Canis lupus familiaris: one gene and its partner. The main gene of each other region encodes a partner of the protein of the gene in region 2 in a complex. Links are inferred from orthologs where the notes say so. Each region holds a gene or a part of one and is shown on either strand. Other genes may lie near its edges.

What was found. The genes of interacting proteins can lie anywhere in the genome.
Region 1: TIMM29 (region 2) and TIMM10B share a complex: the UniProt entries of both Homo sapiens proteins name them as parts of the TIM22 complex. The link is inferred for Canis lupus familiaris from reciprocal best matches to the Homo sapiens genes TIMM29 and TIMM10B.

Annotation. Positions count from the first base shown.
Region 1 is NC_049242.1:30,305,585-30,312,181, reverse strand, and holds TIMM10B (mitochondrial import inner membrane translocase subunit Tim10 B), read right to left. Parts: upstream 5,807-6,597; 5' UTR 5,712-5,806; coding exon 5,667-5,711; intron 5,492-5,666; coding exon 5,396-5,491; intron 5,255-5,395; coding exon 5,078-5,254; 3' UTR 3,990-5,077; downstream 1-3,989. UniProt on the Homo sapiens protein: Component of the TIM22 complex, a complex that mediates the import and insertion of multi-pass transmembrane proteins into the mitochondrial inner membrane.
Region 2 is NC_049241.1:50,719,993-50,730,478, reverse strand, and holds TIMM29 (mitochondrial import inner membrane translocase subunit Tim29), read left to right. Parts: upstream 1-3,589; 5' UTR 3,590-3,815; coding exon 3,816-3,909; intron 3,910-3,985; coding exon 3,986-4,674; 3' UTR 4,675-6,417; downstream 6,418-10,486. Other genes in the region: protein YIPF2, read right to left, coding at 1-16, 94-260, 352-468, 1,711-1,798, 2,699-2,779, 2,874-3,028, 3,364-3,394. UniProt on the Homo sapiens protein: Component of the TIM22 complex, a complex that mediates the import and insertion of multi-pass transmembrane proteins into the mitochondrial inner membrane.

The sequences.
Region 1 (6,597 bases), on a different chromosome or scaffold from region 2:
TAAAGTAGCAATTGCAGTGACCCTGTTGGAAGATTACAAAAATGGGGAGAAGCAGACCGAATTAAGGGGGATATTTAGAAATGTAAAATGTAAACAGATGGAATTTGGCAACTGAGTGAGGTTTCTACCTTCTGCAACTGGAAAAGTACTAGGTATTGGAGGAAAGCTGATGAGGAAAACCTTTGAGTTGGGGATGTTTTTGAGATATCTAAGTGGGAATGTCAATCAAGTTGCTCAGAGGAGAGATCTGGGAGGCATGAATAACTGAAGCTGAGTGGGGAGGACACTGTCCTAGAAAAATGTCTAACAGGCCCTAGAGAAACCTTTAGATGTAAAGGCTGGAAGCAGGTGATCCTCAAAGGAGGCTATGAAGCTGTGGTGAAAGTAGTAGAACCATGAGTGGAATCAGACACCAGTGAAAGACTGACAATGGAACTAGTCCATTTTACCAGATGCTACTGAGAAATGAAGTAAGTGAGGACTGGGAAATCATCACTGAATTCAGGGATATGAAAGTCATTTGGTGGGCCAGGGTGACCTCATCAAGAACAATTTCAATAGAATAAAGATTGATGTCAAAATAGACTGGGTGGAGGAACGGGAATGGGAAGAGCCACAGTATCCAACTGTTTTAAGAAGTTAAGCTGTAAGGTGGAAAATAATAGTACCTAGAGAGGAATAAAGGAAGTGGTTTGTTTGTTGTAACAGGGGAGTTTCTAGCATGTTTGAACGATGGTGAGAATAGAGTGAAATAGGAAAAAGTCAGAGATTCCCAAAGAAGGACTAGAATTCAGAGCAGGAATAGGCATTGGCATGTTTGCCCTGCTTAGATGGAGGGAATGAGAGAAAGATGCAGATACAGGTGGGTGACCAAGTTTTGTTGTGAGATTTTGTGGTAGCTCCCAACTGTCAGCTTTTTTTTTTTTTTTTTTTTTTAACCTATGAATTAAAAAATAAAGTTACCTGCACAAAATTGAAGAGAATAGTTAGGGTAATAACAGGCTTAAGAATATTGATTCAAAAAAGTCATTGCAGGGAGCATCGGAGACTGGAAAAATCTAGTGGGATTATAGGGGTTGAGACTCCATTTGATGCTGGTAACCACAAATTCAGTGATATAAATCTGCTCTGTAGTGATTTCCTTCAGCTTTTAGCTGTCCAAATGCAGGCAGACAAATACCTCATTTTATCTGAGTCCAACAAAGAGATGACAAAAAACAGGAGTAGCCTGTTCCAAGAGAATGACTGGAATTTAAGCTGGATAGGAATCTAAAGACAGAGGTGTTAATGGAATGAAGGTAGAATCAATGGTTTGAATGCTCCAGCAAAACCAAAGAATAATAGTAAAGGAATAAATCAATAAACAAAGTGGAAGGAATAGTCAGTAAATAGTGTATTAAAGATGGAGCAGTTTGGGGGAAATGACAATGGCTAGGACATAGCTAAGGGAGTGGGTGGATAAGACAGAGTGGAAATTATTGAAGAATGAGAAAAGGGACTGAGAAACCAAAATACTGAATGGACTATCCAGTAACATTAAAGTACCAAGGGGTTGATAGGAAAACCAAGGGCTAGCCATTTCGAGGAAAGTAGGAGAGCAGTGGTTCCTAAGGACCAGTAATGAGGAAGGGTAGTATAGTTCAATAGGCCCAAAGGAATCTGATTTTGCAAAGGAATAGGCAGTTAAGTTCTGAAGTCACAATGGCAAGAACATCAACTCTGTCTCCAAAATGATGTGATAAGGGATAAAGCTTTGTTAACATTCTTGTGTCGTGGGCAACCCAGGTGGCTCAGCAGTTTAGCGCTGCCTTCAGCCCAGGGCCTGATCCTGGAGACCCGAGATCAAGTCCCATGTCGGGCTCCCTGCATGGAGTCTGTTTCTCCCTCTGCCTGTGTCTCTGCCTCTCCCTCTCTGTATCTCTCATAATAAATAAATAAAATCTTAAAAAAAAAAAAAATTCTTGTGTCATGCTTGAAACATCACACTGCTTTCATTACGCCAATGGACGTCACTTTATGATGAGACCTGAGGAAGATGTCAGTGACTACAGGAGATAGGTAGCAACAGTAGAGTTCTTCTACGTACTGAACGTATTTATAAACAGAGAGGGAAGAAGAGGTTAAAAACTTAAGGGATTAATTGATGGATACTTGTTTTTTCATCCCTAGGGACAGGCTGGGTGCACATGAGCAAACAAATATAAATTCTGGAAATTCAAAGAACATAGCCTCTAGAGTCAAGACAGATCTTTCTCAGCCCTGCTCCAGCAAGTAGTAATTATGTGACATGGAAACAGATGATTCGCAATGGAAATTTACTGCAAGGATACACGCAAATGTCCACGGAAGAGTCCTCCCACCAGCAGCACAGTATTCAAGGTCTCCATTCCTGTCTTGGAACTGGTTAAGTTCACAAGCTGCTTTAGCTGAAGTTTTACGTTCCAAGGAGAAAATTTTAATGAGTAGACACAAACCCATTCAGTAGGGAATTTCCTGGTCAGCAGCTTGTACATTCCTAGCAACCATCTGTTGAAGATATAGGAACTAAAGAGATGAAAAGCCATTTGGAGCAACTTTTCTCAAGAGGTAACTACGTAAACATGGGGCTCTGATACATTCTGGATTCTTGCTTCCTCATCCATTAAGTGGGGAATAATATCTCTTACTTGTAGTTTTGCTATAGATTAAAATAGGGATGCCTGGGTGACTCAGTGGTTGAGCATTTGCCTTCAGCTCAGGGTGTGACCCCAGGGTCCTGGGATCGAGTCCTGCAGCAGCCTAGGGAGCCTGCTTCTCTTCTGTCTCTACATCTCTCATGAATAAATAAAATCTAAAAAAAAAAAAAAAAAAAGGCTGAGATAAAGCAGGACATATACCAGCACTGGAACCCATACAAATCAGATGGCTCAATGGTATTTTGAGAGGCAGCCTGGTGTAATAAAAAGTACATGGATTTTATTTTTTTAAAAAAGATTATTTATTTATTTATTTACTTATTTATTTATTTATTTATTCATGAGAGACAAAGAGAGAGAGAGGCAGAGACACAGGCAGAGGGAGAAGCAGGCTCCACGCAGGGAGCCTGACACAGGACTCGATCCTCAGTCTCCAGGATCACGCCCTGGACTGAAGGTGGCACTAAACCACTGAGCCCCTGGGGCTGCCCAGAAGTGCATGGATTTTAAAGCCAGATCTGTATCTGTATCTTAAAAAGATATTAATATCTTAATATTAAGATACAGATTAATATCTTAATCTGTATCTTAATAAAGTCTGCTACTAGAGAATTTCAACTTCCTGATCCACATAGGGGAAAAAATGTCTGCTTTGTGGGTAGTTGTAAGGAGTTTTATGGGAGCCAATGTCTAAGAGCTTCCATTTCCTCCGTAAAAAATGAAACATGGTCCCCTGATGGAGGATAGCTGAACGTGAAATGGGGGATAAGAGCAGTGAAGGTGTAAACTAACTGCCTTGGTGATTAGGAGACAAAAATATACCAGGAAGCCACAAAGGGTTGCTTGTTGGTTGACGCTGGAGACCTTGAATGGTTAGTGCCACTCATTACACAGCTGTGTTTTTGTCTAGCAGTCTGAACAGAAGAACAGTAAAGGTAAAACAGCTGGAATGATACAAAAAGGACACAAGGGAGGCAAGAAAATGCGGTGATGGGGTGATAGGCCATTTAGAATGGTGGCACAAGTAAATTTTATGAGGGCAATAAATGAGAGAAAGATAGAGAGGCTCAGCATGGAAATAACAAAACCGGGACAATGAAAACAATGATGGGTAGAGGACAGAAGAGCTGGAATTAGATTATAGACTTGGAGGTAACGATAAAGAGGTCCCAAGGATTTGTTTTATCTTTTTCCCCATAACCATCATCATCTATTTCTCCCCTGAGCTTTTGTTCCTTGGGTCTGGCTATATTGTAGAATATGGTCCTCCAAGTTCCCCCTTTCTGACTGCTCCTGAAGACAAGCACACAGACCTTCTTTGTGTAAAAGCTTTACTGCTCATCCTGGGGAAGACAGAAAATAATAAGAAAATAACAACTTGGGAAAATGGCTGAAGTTCCAGAACACCCCGAAATCTTACAGGTTTCATTTCAGTTACGGGGCTACTGACTTTCCAGAAGGCACTGCATACAAAAACCCTGTGATTTCTTGATCTGTTATTCTTAGGTATCTCCTCCTTCCCCTAAATTTAGGAGAATTCTTTAGAGCCCATGAAAAGAGTTATAAATGAATGCACACCCAGCTCACAAATAAACCATTAAGTCAGATTTAAGTGAAGGACAACAAGAAGAGCTCTTATTTTCTCTGCCATCTGGGCAGGAACCAACTTCCTATTGCTATTACTAACATTAAAATCGTACCACAGGGGTGCCTGGGTGCAGTTGGTTAAGTGTCTGTCTTTGGCTCAAGTCATAATCCCAGGGCCCTGGGATCAAGCCCCGCATCTGGCTCCCTGCTAGGCCCGGAGTCTGCTTCTCTCTCTGCCCCTCCCCCTGCTCATTCTCTCTCTCTCTCTCACATAAATAAATAAACAAAATCTTTAAAAAAAAGAAAGAATTAAGTAAGATGCACCTGGGTGGCTCAGCCATTGAGCGTCTGCTTTTGGCTCAGGGTAGGATCCTGGGGTTCTGGGATCAAGTCCGGCATCGGGCTCCCCACAGGGAGCCTCTGCTTCTCCCTCTGCCTATGTCTCTGCCGCTCTCTGTGTGTCTCGTGAATAAATAAACTCTTTACAAAAGAAAAAATTGTACCCACAGGCCTTGTTTTAACCAGGTGCCAGGAAATGTTGAGGTTTTCCTTCTACACATAGAAGCCAATTTCTCCACTGCCAGGGCTGAAGCCAACAGATATGCGCTGACAGGATAAAGGATGGGGCCAATAAAGCGGGCAAAGCTTCCGTGCCCAGAACATAAATCAAACAGTGCAAAAGTGGGTTTATTGGCTCCAAGAAAAGGAGCAATACTACCCAGCTGTCAGACAACCCCTCACTCTATATATGGGCTGCATCCAGCCCAAGGTCCACTGGCTCCTTCAGTTTGAGGGTCCATCCAGCGCCTCCCTTCCTAGCTGCCTGATGGTGAGGTTCCGGGCTGTTCTGCAGCAACACCTGGCCCAGCTGAGGCAGCCTCGTAGTCTGCGATGCGGCGCTGTACCAGAGCCGGCATGAGCTGCACGTAAGCGGCCATGAGGCGGTGGTTGGAATGGATCAGCTTCCCAGCACAGCTGTGCAGACAGGCCTCCTGGAAGGAAGACAGGGTGAAGCATTGGTGTCCACTGGTGTCCGTCCCATCCCTGGCCCAGGGGCAAGGGTCATGGAAAGGCCCGGGCCAGAGGTAGGGGCGGTGGAGGTTGGGGACAGTCTACGGCGAACCCCACCTAACCTCTTCAGCGTCCAGAGCTCGGTGGTGCAAGCTGGGCACGCAGCGCTGGAAGCAGAGTTCCGTCATCCGATTGTAGACCAACAGGAAGTCCCGCAACTAGGAGAGAAGGGGACAAAGAGCCCAGCGATAAGGGGGCACCTCGAGGCCGCGCCCTCGAGGTTTCCCAGGACGGCGCGCCAGAGCGCGACGTTCCCAACCCTCCGCCCTCCAGCCAAACGGACGAAGATGCCAGCTGAACTGATGGCCCCGTCGCGACTTAGCACCCACTCACGTTCCTCAGCTGCTGCTGCTGCTGCTGCTGCTGCTGCGGCTCCATCGCGCCACCGGCGCACGCACGTCACTTCCGCACAGCCTCTTGGTAACGCCCCGGAAGTGACCTCTCCTGGCTCCCCGGGGACTGAGGGGTTGCCTCAAGGATCGCCCCGCCCCTGGCTTTAACGTCATCTCCGCCCTTATAGTCTGCGACGTGGCCGGCTTCTTCTGCCCGGGAGGGGACGTCACTTCCGCCGAGTCCCTGACCTGCTGCTAGGATCGCGACGGGAACTGGAGCCCGAGGTCCCCGCGCGGCCCGGGCCTGGCGCCCTGAGGGGAAGAGCGGCCCGGCCCGAGGTGAGAAGGACATACTTGGGCAAGGGGAAGTTGAATGCACGAGCCTGCCCCGAGGGAAAGATGCTACAGAGCCCTGGGGAAGGATGAGGACACACCTGATGCCCAGGTGTGGGGTGGGGGGGGGGCGGGGACTAACACACCTGGGGGACATAACTGACTTTGGAAGGGATCACTATGTGCTGGGAAAATGTGGCTTTTCCCAGAGGCCAAGAACGGACACCAACTGATTCAACTAGGGCCTGCAGGGGGAGGGCTGCAGGAGGAGGGGGTGCATGGGATGGAGGAGGGAGAGACCACCTGAAGGAAAGGGGAAGCAACCCTAAGGGAGTGTGAGAGGCCAAGCAATGGAGAACATACCAGAGCGGGAGGAGTAGGCTCCTGAGCCCTGGAAAGGGGTTAATCTGATGGGAGGAAACAGCTGCATGGGGGTAAGTTCCAAAACAGCACAGACTTTCTCTCCCTTGGCCACTGCTGTGACCTCAAATAGTAGTCTGTTGAATGGTTGAACGCATGAGTGATCACCTGAGTCCTGGTGGGGTTGGGGGTCCGTGAGAAGATACTGGGGACCTGGGTGTGCATGTGGAAAGATACAC
Region 2 (10,486 bases):
GAATGAGCCACAGGACCTGGGGGCGACATGGGCAGCTGCCTACCAGGCCTTCCCCATGATGCCTGGTGCCCTCCACCCCTGGGCCGCACTTACCACGGTGGGGATGAAGACAAAGAGGGAGTAGCCGTAGATGCACACGGTCTCCAGGAAGGTGTAAGGCCCCATGCGCTCCCGGACACCCTTCCGCCACCGCAGGAAGCCCCACAGCGCCAACGGCACCAGCCAAACATAGCAGTAGATGGTGACGCCAGCCACAGTCACTGTGGAGCGCGGGGCAAGGCAGGCAGTCACCCTTGGGGCTCTGTGCACTCCCAGCCCCGGCAGGTGCCAGGCCTAGCCCACTTCACTCACCCTTGTGGAACTGGGGGCTGTAGTGGATCGAGGGGTCCCTCCTCTGGGCCAGCACCAGCGTCAGATTGCCAGTGATGGCCAAGACGAAAGCCAGCGTGGCACAGATCCAGAAGGGGCCTGTGGGCAGGGCAGGGTGTGGGAAGGGGCCCAGGGTTCCCCGAACAGGAGACTTGTCCCATCTCAACTGTGCTGGGACCCCAGCTGCTTTCTAGGCTCGGGGCTACCTGCACACCACCCCCCGTCACTGATGACCTGGGCTGGCTGATCCCAGAGCTGGCCCTCAGTCCCTCAGCTTTCCTGACTTTTCTATCGCCTTTGCTGTAGCTGATCGCTTCCTTCTTCTGGAACCACTCCCCATGTGCTTTTAGGACTTCATGCTCCTGCTTCTGGCATGTCACATTCCTGGCTATTCCCCAACCTTTGGGACTCCCTAACCCCTTCAATAACGGGGACCCAGCCAGGGCCGGTCTTCAGCCATCCTCTCTGTGTTCACCCCTTGCACCATCTTGTCCCGCCTCAGGGGTTTAGGTCACCTCCAGGCTGATGACTCCCAAATGTCTCAAATTTGGTCTGTGCCATGAACCACTGGCTTTATAGTCAGCATTTCCACGTCACGTCTAGGTCTCTCCAACTCCAGCCTGCCCAGCCTTTCCAGTTGGTAAATGACAGTCCCATCCTTCTAGCAGTCCCGATGGAAATCCAGGAGCCACCCTTGCCTCTCTCCTCCCGCCCGACCTCAGGCGTGTCAGGGTGTCAGGAAGTCCCGTCGGCTCTGCCATGAGATCTCTTTCACAGTCCAACCACTGCTCTCCACCTGGGGCTGGGCCCATCACCCCACACCTGTACCATGGTGGCGGGCACTGCCTCTCTGGTCTCCTGGCATCTGCCCCTGCCCCCCCCCGCCCCCCATGGCCAGAGGAAGCCTCAGAGTCCTTAACTAAGACCCCTTCTCACTGAGACGGACAAAATCTGCACAGTCTCTCCTGTCACCTCTACGACCTCATGCAGCTCACTGCTCCAGTGACAATACTGCTCCACCACTGGACCTGTGCCCCCTTCTGGAATGTTCTTCCCCTATGTCTCCTCACCTTCATCCCTAACAAGGCCCATTCTTGCATCCTCCTCAGAGATGTCCTGTCTCAACCATGCAAAATGGCAACTCCCATCCTCTAAACTGTTTGCTTTTTTTCTGAGCCCCATTGCCCTCAGCAGCCTCTATATATCTGTCTCCCCAGATGGAATGCGTGCTTCCTGCCCTCTGGGAGTGCCCCTACTTTCTTCTCAGCTGGAATCCATGGGCTGGCACTCGGTCCACATGTGCTGAATGAATTATCGAGCTGAACGTACACCACCACTCACCATACAGGTCTGGCCGATTCCGCAGATGGTGCCGTACAAAGTTGTGGCCAGGCCGGGGCAGCAGTGAGCCTCTGATTCGGTCCAGGACCTGGGGACAAGGTGGGGCCCAGAATGGGAGCCTGCACAGGGCCAACACACACATCCCTCCACCAAAGAAAGAGGAAAGGGCTAAGCTCCTGCCCTTAGGGGCTCCTTCCCTGCTGAGCTCCCATCTCCTTGCCTGAAAAAGCTTGGATGTTCCCTGAGTTTTTGATGCCCCTTTCCCTGGCCAGCCCCAATACCCTAGCGCGCTACTGCTCTCAAGGACTCTTCCGGGTTGGTCATCTTTCTCCTTGCTTCTCCCTTCTCTTAGCTTGGCTGCCCTGAACAGCCTGTTATGTTGTGACATGCCTGGACCGTGAGGTGGGGAACAGTCAAATCCTGGGCATCCTCCTGCCTACCTCTCTTTCCACTATATTCCTTGTTCTGCACCCCAGGTTTAAGGCCTGGGGTCTCTGAGCCACCTTCCTAATTCAATTCATTCCTCTCCCGCTCTAAGCCCTTCTGTGGCTCCCCAGCACCCTCACGATGAAACTCAAACTAGCACAGCGTACGAGGCCTTTGTGGTCTGGGTTCTGCCTGCCTGTCCCCCACCTCAATCTCCAACCAGATCAAGTGACAGGTAGCTCGTGACACCTTCTCTCACCTTTGGCCCTCTGCATCTGCTGTTCCCTGCACCTGCCATACGTGCTTCCCTTCACGTCTCTGCACATTCCTCACCTCCTCCAGGAGGCCCTTCTCTAACCTGCGTGACTATATGCAACTGTGTTCCCACGAGCCCATCACACCATAATCCTGACAGCGCACCACAGTCCACCAGCCCGTGTAGGGGCCCGTGTCCTACCGCCTGGGCATCACCAGCATTCTGGTGTCTAGGAAGGGCTCAGTGAACAGTGGCTGGACCCCCGTGTGACCGCAGGCCCCATCCCACCAGCTTCCCGGGCCTGACCTGGGATGTGTCCACGTCAAAGAAGCTCTGATAGTAGCTAAAGGTCCAGAATCCGGGCTGCTGCTTCTCCTCCTGCAGGAGCTGCAGGGATGGCATGGGCTTTCAGCGGCTGCCCTTCCCGCCTGGGCGGAGCGCGGGGGCAGGGCTGGGTGCAGGCAGGGCCTGAGGCTCTCACCGCAGTCTTGTCACTCTCCTCAGCCTCCTCAGATCCGTAGATACCACCCGAGTCCACCTCCACCGCCACGTGCCCCTGTGGGGCCAGCTGACCGCGGCCACTCGTGGTGGCCGCATCTGGGGTCTCCGCCAGCAGACTAGAAGCTTCCTCGAACTCTATGGAGAAGGAATACGGGACAAAGGCATGTTTTGGGAGTCAAGACAATTTGGTTTGGCCCACTGCTCGGCTGGGGGACAACACTCCACCTGGGGCTACCTAAGGGCCCAGCTTCCTAAGTTTTGGGGAGTTGTAAGGTGTGTCCCCCCGCCCCACAAGGGCCCACCACTTAAGGCTGGTTCCGGGATGGGGTCAGGTCTGGGACCGAGGCTCAGGCTGGGAGCGGGGTTCGGGTCAGGGTCGGGGCTTCAGGCCGGCTGTCGGCGGGCACCCGGGTGGGAGGGTCCGGGCGGCGGAGGGAGTAGGAGCTCGGGCCAGGTCGCCGCCCACTCACCGTGGAAGGCCAGCTCGTCGGCCGCTGCCATGGTCGCTCAGGGGCGTCACCGCATCCCGCTCTGAGGACAGAGGCCAATGACGCCCGCCCCCAACCACACTCGGTGCCCCTCCCCCCAGGTCCATCCCTCAGCCCGGAGCCCAGCCAGGCCGCTAGGGCACCGAGCGGGGGGTGACCTCGCCGCCCCCGCCCCACAGGTGCACCCCGCCCCCCTCACCTGAGGCTCCCTCAGCCGGCGTGGCCCAGGCTCTCTGCGCCTGCGCGGCCCGCCTCCCGGCCTCCGCCGGCCGCGCTCCGACCCGACAGCAACATCCGGCAGCGGTCCGAGTTCCGTCTTGTTCCGATGGGAAGCCACTTCCGGCACCGTCGACGCTGGCGCAGGAGGCCCCCGGGCCTTTTACTTCGCACACGAGGCGTTTCGCTTCGGAAAACGGACTCTGAGCCGGAAGAGAATGGCGACGGCCGCTCTGAAGAGATTGTGGTCCCGAAACCGTGAAGGATCTGGTGGCCCGGCGGCCGCGAAGCCGGGCGTGTGGGCGCGGCTGGGTGAGTAGCGGCGGGCGGCGGCGGGAGGGTGGCCACGGCGGCCTGCTCTCACCTGTGTGTTCCGCTTCTCCCTCAGGCGCCTGGGCCCGCGTGCTGCTCCGAGACTACGCCGAGGCTTGCGGGGACGCGGCGGCGGCGGCGCGGGCCCGGCCCTGGCGGGCGGCCGTGTACGCGGGGCTGCTGGGGGGCGCGGCGGCCTGCTGCGCGCTGGCGCCCAGCGAGGCGGCCTTCGAGGAGGCGCTGCTCGACGCGTCGGGCATCCTCCTGCTGCTGGCCCCCGCCACGCGCAACCGCGCCTCCGAGGACTGTGTGCAGCGGCTGCTCTGGCTGCGGGGGCGCGGCCGCCTCCGCCACGTGAACCTGGGCCTCTGCGCGCTCGTGTACGAGGCGCCCGTCGACGCCCAGGCCAGCCTCTACCAGGCTCGCTGCCGCTACCTGCAGCCCCGTTGGGCCGACTTCCCGGACCGGATCCTGGACGTGGGCTTCGTGGGCCGCTGGTGGGTGCTGGCCGCCCGGATGCGCGACTGCGACATCAACGACGAGGAGTTCCAGCACCTGCCGGCCCATCTGCGCGTCGTCGGACCCCATCAGCTGCATTCTGAGACGAACGAGCGCCTCTTCGACGAGAAGTACAAGCCCGTCGTGCTCACAGACGATCAGGTTGACCAGGCGCTGTGGGAAGAGCAGGTGTTGCAGAAGGAGAAGAAGGACAAACTCGCCCTGAGCCAGGCCGACTCCCTGGTGCGGTCGGAGGTCCCCAGATGAAACCCAGGCCTGGATCCGGAAGGGCGCGGAGCGCTGGCTGACCGTCCACCCGGGATGGCATCCGCTGTGTTTTAGCCTCAGATCCAGAGTGACTTAAATAAATTATGTGCACAGTGTTCTTTCCCTGGGTTTTCACAACCTTTCCGGCCTCTCTCCCGCTCATCTGGTTCCTTGTTAGTTGAAGCTGATTCAGAGTTAGCTTGGTCTAGGCCTAACCTTGGGTCAAGGAGTTGGGGGAGAGCAAAGCGACAAGACCAGGTAATGTTTATCACTGCCAGAGTTAATAATGAGCCTTATACATATATATATAAGCCTTTTTTACTGAGCTTCCCAGTCCCTCCACCGAGGTACCACATTTGTCAGGTGACTCCAAAGCTCTCCTAATACCATTCAGATTTTCACTTTATTTTTATTTTTTTAAAAAAAGAGTTTATTTTATGAGAGAGAGAGGCAGAGGCTCCCTGTGGTGAACCGGATGCAGGATTCGATCACAGAACCCCAAGATCACCACCTGAGCCAAAGGCAGACACTCAACCACTGAGCCATCCAGGTGCCCCCAGATTTTCACTTTAAATTTGGAATTGCAATGTTTATCTTCTTTCATTTTCATGAGTAGCATTTTTAATTATTTCAAAATAAAGTTAAAAAGCAGTTTCAGAAGAAAGTGGAAAAATAACCCAAAGACATTCTGTGTATCCTTCACCCAGTTTACCCCAAATGGTAATGTTTTACAATAAACTACAGCAAACTAGGAGATTGCCAGTGGTATGACTATAGATTTTACAGGGAATCTTTCTGCAAAAACCTTCCCCCCCCACATATGACAGTGATATCAAACTGATTTGGAAGGATAAAGCATTTTTTTAAAAAATCTGGAATTAACTATGGAATCACAGATTATTATTTCAGTCACCCTGGAAACCCAGAATACTATTGAATGGAATAGGTTAGTCTACAGAGCTGGTATTTAGGTTGTGATAACCCTACTTTAAAAATGGATAGAGGAATGAGATTACCTCCGTGAACCTAGGTGACCCATGGCTGGCTCAGTGGGAAGAGCAAGACTGACTCTTGATCTTGGGGTCATGAGTTCAAGTTCCATATTGGGTATAGAGATTACTAAAAAGAAAAGTAAAAAAACCCCCATGAGATGAAGCAACCATCTTTGCTGTGACGTTTGAGTTCATGTATTTTGTCATTCAGTTTTGGTACTCAGACTTTCCATTGTGGGTATGCTGGACACATGGTGATTTTTATATCCTTATTTTTGGGACAGGGGAGCATCTTGTAAATCAACATCTTCATTACAATGGAAAAAGTGATGTTCAAAAAGCTGATTTTTCCAAGGCTGTGGCAGAGCTATGATTCAAATGGTAACTCCCAACCCTGTGCCTTAATCCTCAAACTTGGGGTACTGTATTGGATCCTAGCAACATCTTGCCAGGAATTATTAAATGCTGCTATCATTAGCCATAAATAAAACTTGAATACTGAAATAAGTGAATATAGAAATGAAACGTAATGGGAACAAAAAGCAAATGATACTAAACTATGGTCCTATACTGTTACCTGCCAAAGGCTCTGGGCCTAAATCCGGATGTTTTTGTTCAAGACAGATATTAACCAACTTCAGGGAAAGCTTTAAGACACATCAGCATCAAAGTGAGACTTGTTCTTCACCGTGATCAGTGAGAGCTGCACTTGCTCACTGCTTGTGTTGGTTATTAAATGCCTCTTCTAACATTCAGCCAGAGTGTGTTCTGTGCAGTCCCCCTACAGCTGTGAGGAGTTGTTGGCAACAAACTAAACAGCTCTCAGTGTTCTAGGGATTTAGGGGCTTAGTGTAGGCCTAAAGTCTATGTGGTTTTGTCTTTGGTTGCAAGATTGGCTTTTCCCAGTGGAGTCTTACCATATTTTTGCTTCCCTCTCTAGTACCTCTTGCCTTCTGAGTTGTAAAGCTCATGGACTGGAACTGGTAGATGGAACAAGGACTGGGTGTTGGGGTGTACACAGGCTCCCAAAGGATGGTCTTGTTCGCTGCTGAACTCCCAACACCCTCTAGTGCTCAGTCCAGTATGGGCCCCAGCAAATGCTGAGAGAGTTAAATGGGATGATGCCTGTGTTCATTGTGGGCAGAAGCTTGTCTGGTCCTGCTGGGGAGAGGGAAACAGTGCAGGACTGGCTCCTCATCCTTTGGTCAGCCCAGAAGAGATCCCCCAGGCTTCACCCAGTACCAGAAACAGCAAGGTGGACAAACTTTCTCTTCATAAGGGCATTAGGGTCTGGGGAAGAAGTGGGACTTAAAAATAGAGTTTGGGTCTCAGCTTTCACACCAGCTTTGTGATTGACCTGGGCCGGAACAACTAGGTAAGAAAGAGAAAAGCCATCCAAATTGGAAAGGAGGAAGTAAAACTTACTATATGCAGATGACATAGAAAACGCTAAAGACCCCATCAAAAAAACCCTGACAGAGGGCAGCCCGGGTGGCTCAGTGGTTTAGCACCTGCCTTCAGCCCAGGGCGTGATCCTGGAGACCTGGGATCGAGTTCCGCGTCAGGCTCCCTGCGTGGAGCCTGCTTCTCCCTCTGCCTGTGTCTCTCTGCCTCTCTCTCTCTATCTCATGAATGAATGAATAATATCTTTAAAAAAAAAAAAAAACTGACAGAACGAATGAATTCGGGGGTGCCTGGGTGGCTCGGTAAGTTAAGCATCTGCTTTTGGCTCCGGTCATGATCCCTTTCCCTCTGCCCCCACCCTGTGTTCGTTCTCTTTCTCTCTCTCAAATCAATAACATATTTTTTCAATTTTTTTTTAATTTTTACTTATGATAGTCACACACAGAGAGAGAGAGAGAGAAGCAGAGACACAGGCAGAGGGAGAAGCAGGCTCCATGTACCGGGAACCCGATGTGGGACTTGATCCTGGGTCTCCAGGATCGCGCCCCGGGCCAAAGGCAGGCGCCAAACCGCTGCGCCACCCAGGGATCCCAATAACATATATTTTTTTAAAGATTTATTTATTCATTCAGAGCGAGAGAGAGAGAGGCAGAGACACAGGCAGAGGGAGAAGCAGGCTCCATGCAGGAAGCCCGATGTGGGACTCGATCCCGGATCTCCAGGATCACACCCCCGGCTGCAGGCGGCGCTAAACCGCTGCACCACCAGGGCTACCCTCAAATAACATCTTTGAAAAAAATCCAAGTGAATTCAGTAAAGTTGAAGGATAAAAAATACTCAAAAGTGTTGCATATATATACGCTAATAACTAACAAATTCAGAAAACAATCTCATTTATAATTACATCAAAACACCACCTAGGAATAAATTTAACCAAGGAGATGAAAGACCTGTATGCTGAAAATTACAAGACAAAGACAAAAAAACAAAACAAAAAAAAAACCATAAAAAACCAAAGACATAAATGTAAAGATACTCAGGGCTCATGGATGGGGAGAATATTGTTCAAATGTCCACACTACCCCAATCTACAACCCTACCAAAATTCCAGTGGCATTTCATAGAACTAGAAAAAAATCCTAAAATTTGTAGAGAACCACAGAAGACCTTAAACAGTCAAAGCAATCTCAAGAACAAAGCTGGAGGCATCAGGCTTCCTGAGAACAGTGTAGTTGGTATCAGTATCAAACAGACATGCAGCTCAGTGGAACAGAATAAAAAGCCCAGAAATAAATCCATGCATATATGGGTAATTAATTTACAACAAAGGAGCCAAGAACATACTAGGGGTAGGGGAAAGTCTTCGATAAATAGTGTTGGAAAAACTGGACAGCCACGCGCAAAAGAATGCAACTGGGCCACTATTGTGCACCACACACATGAAGTAACTCAAAATAGATTAAAGAACCTAAGATCTGAAACCATAAAACTCACAGAGGAAAACAAGCAGTAAGCTCGACATTGGTCTTAGTGATGATTTTTTGGATTTGGCATCAAGGGCACCGGCAACAAAAGCAAAAATAAATAAATGGAATGACAGCAAACTAAAAAGCTGCACAGCAAAGGAAACCAACAAAATGAAAAGGCAACCTAGCAAACGGGAGAAAATATTTCTAAATCATATTTTATATATATATATGGATATACATATATCCAAAATATATAAAGAACTCATACAATTCAATCAGGAAAAAATCTGATTTAAAAATGGGCATCCAGGGATCCCTGGGTGGCGCAGCGGTTTGGCGCCTGCCTTTGGCCCAGGGCCTAATCCTGGAGACCCGGGATCGAGTCCCGTGTCGGGCTCCCTGGGTGGAGCCTGCTTCTCCCTCTGCCTGTGTCTCTGCCTCTCTCTCTCTCTCTCTCTCTCTCTCTCTCACTGTGTGCCTATCATAAATAAATAAAAATTAAAAATAAATAAAAATAAATAAAAATAAATAAAAATGGGCATCCAGGGGCACCTGGGTGGCTCAGCGGTTGGGCGTCTGCCTCTGGCTCAGGGCATGATTCTGGAGACCCAGGATCGAGTCCCACATCAGGCTCCTCGCAGGGAGCCTGCTTCTCCCTCTGCCTATGTCTCTGCCTCTCTCTCTCTGTCTCTCATGAATAAATTTAAAAAAATGGGCATCCAGACATCTAGATGGCCAACAGACACATGAAAAGATGTTCCACATCACTCATCGTCAGAGAAATGCAAATCAAAACCACAAAACCACAATGAGATATCACCTCACACCTGTCAGGATGGCTAGTATCAAAAAGACAAGAAATAACAAATGTTGGCCAGGACATGGAGAAGAGGGAACCCTCACATACTGTTGGGACTGTAAAGTAGTGCAGCCACTGTGGAAAATAGGATGGAGTTTCCTCAAAAAATTAAAAATAGAACTAACATATTATCTAGGGGCATCTGGGTAGCTCAGTTGGGTTGAACCTCTGACTGCTGATTTCGGTCAGGTCATGATCTCAGAGTCCTAGGATGGGAGCCCTGAGTCACGCTCCCTGCTCAGCAGGCAATCTGCTTGTCTCCCTCTCCCTCTGTCCCCCCACCCCCAATGCTTGGTCTTTCTCTGAAATAAACCTTAAAAAAAAAAAAAAAAAAAGGAACTACCTTATGATCCAGCAAATCTGCCCCTGGATATTTATCTGAATTAAAAACTTACTCAAAAAGGTATCTGCACCCCCATGTTCACTGAAGCATTATTTACAATAGCCAAGATATGGAAACATCAGTTGATCATCAGTTGATGAATGGATAAAGAAAATGTGGTGAAATGTGAAAATTTTATTACTGAGCCATAGAAAATAAGACAGTCTTGTCATTTGTGACAACACGGATGGTCCCCTGAAGGCATTATGCTATGTGAAACAAAGACAAATGCCAAATGATCTCACTTATATGTGGAATCTAAAAAAAGCCAGAAAAGCAAAGAAAAAACAAACGAACAAAAAAATGAGCTCACGGATACATAGTAGGACTGGTAATTGCCAGAGAATGGGGGCAGGGTGGGCAAAATGGGTGAAGGGGTCAAAAGGTACAAACTTTGAGTTCTAAAATGAGTAGGTCATGGGGATGTAAGATACAGCACGGTGACTATAGTCAATGATATGGTATATATATATATTTTTAGAGATTTTATTTTATTTATTCATGAGAGACACAGAGAGAGAGAGAGAGAGAGAGAGGCAGAGACACAGGGCCTCTCATTCCCTGACACTCCCTGCTCAGCGGGGAGCCTGCTTCTCTGCCTTTCTCTGTGATTGCTTTCGCTCTCTGGTAAATAAATAAAATCTTAGGGATGCCTGGGTGGATCAGCAGTTGAGCATCTGCCTTCAGCTCATGGCTTGATCCTGGG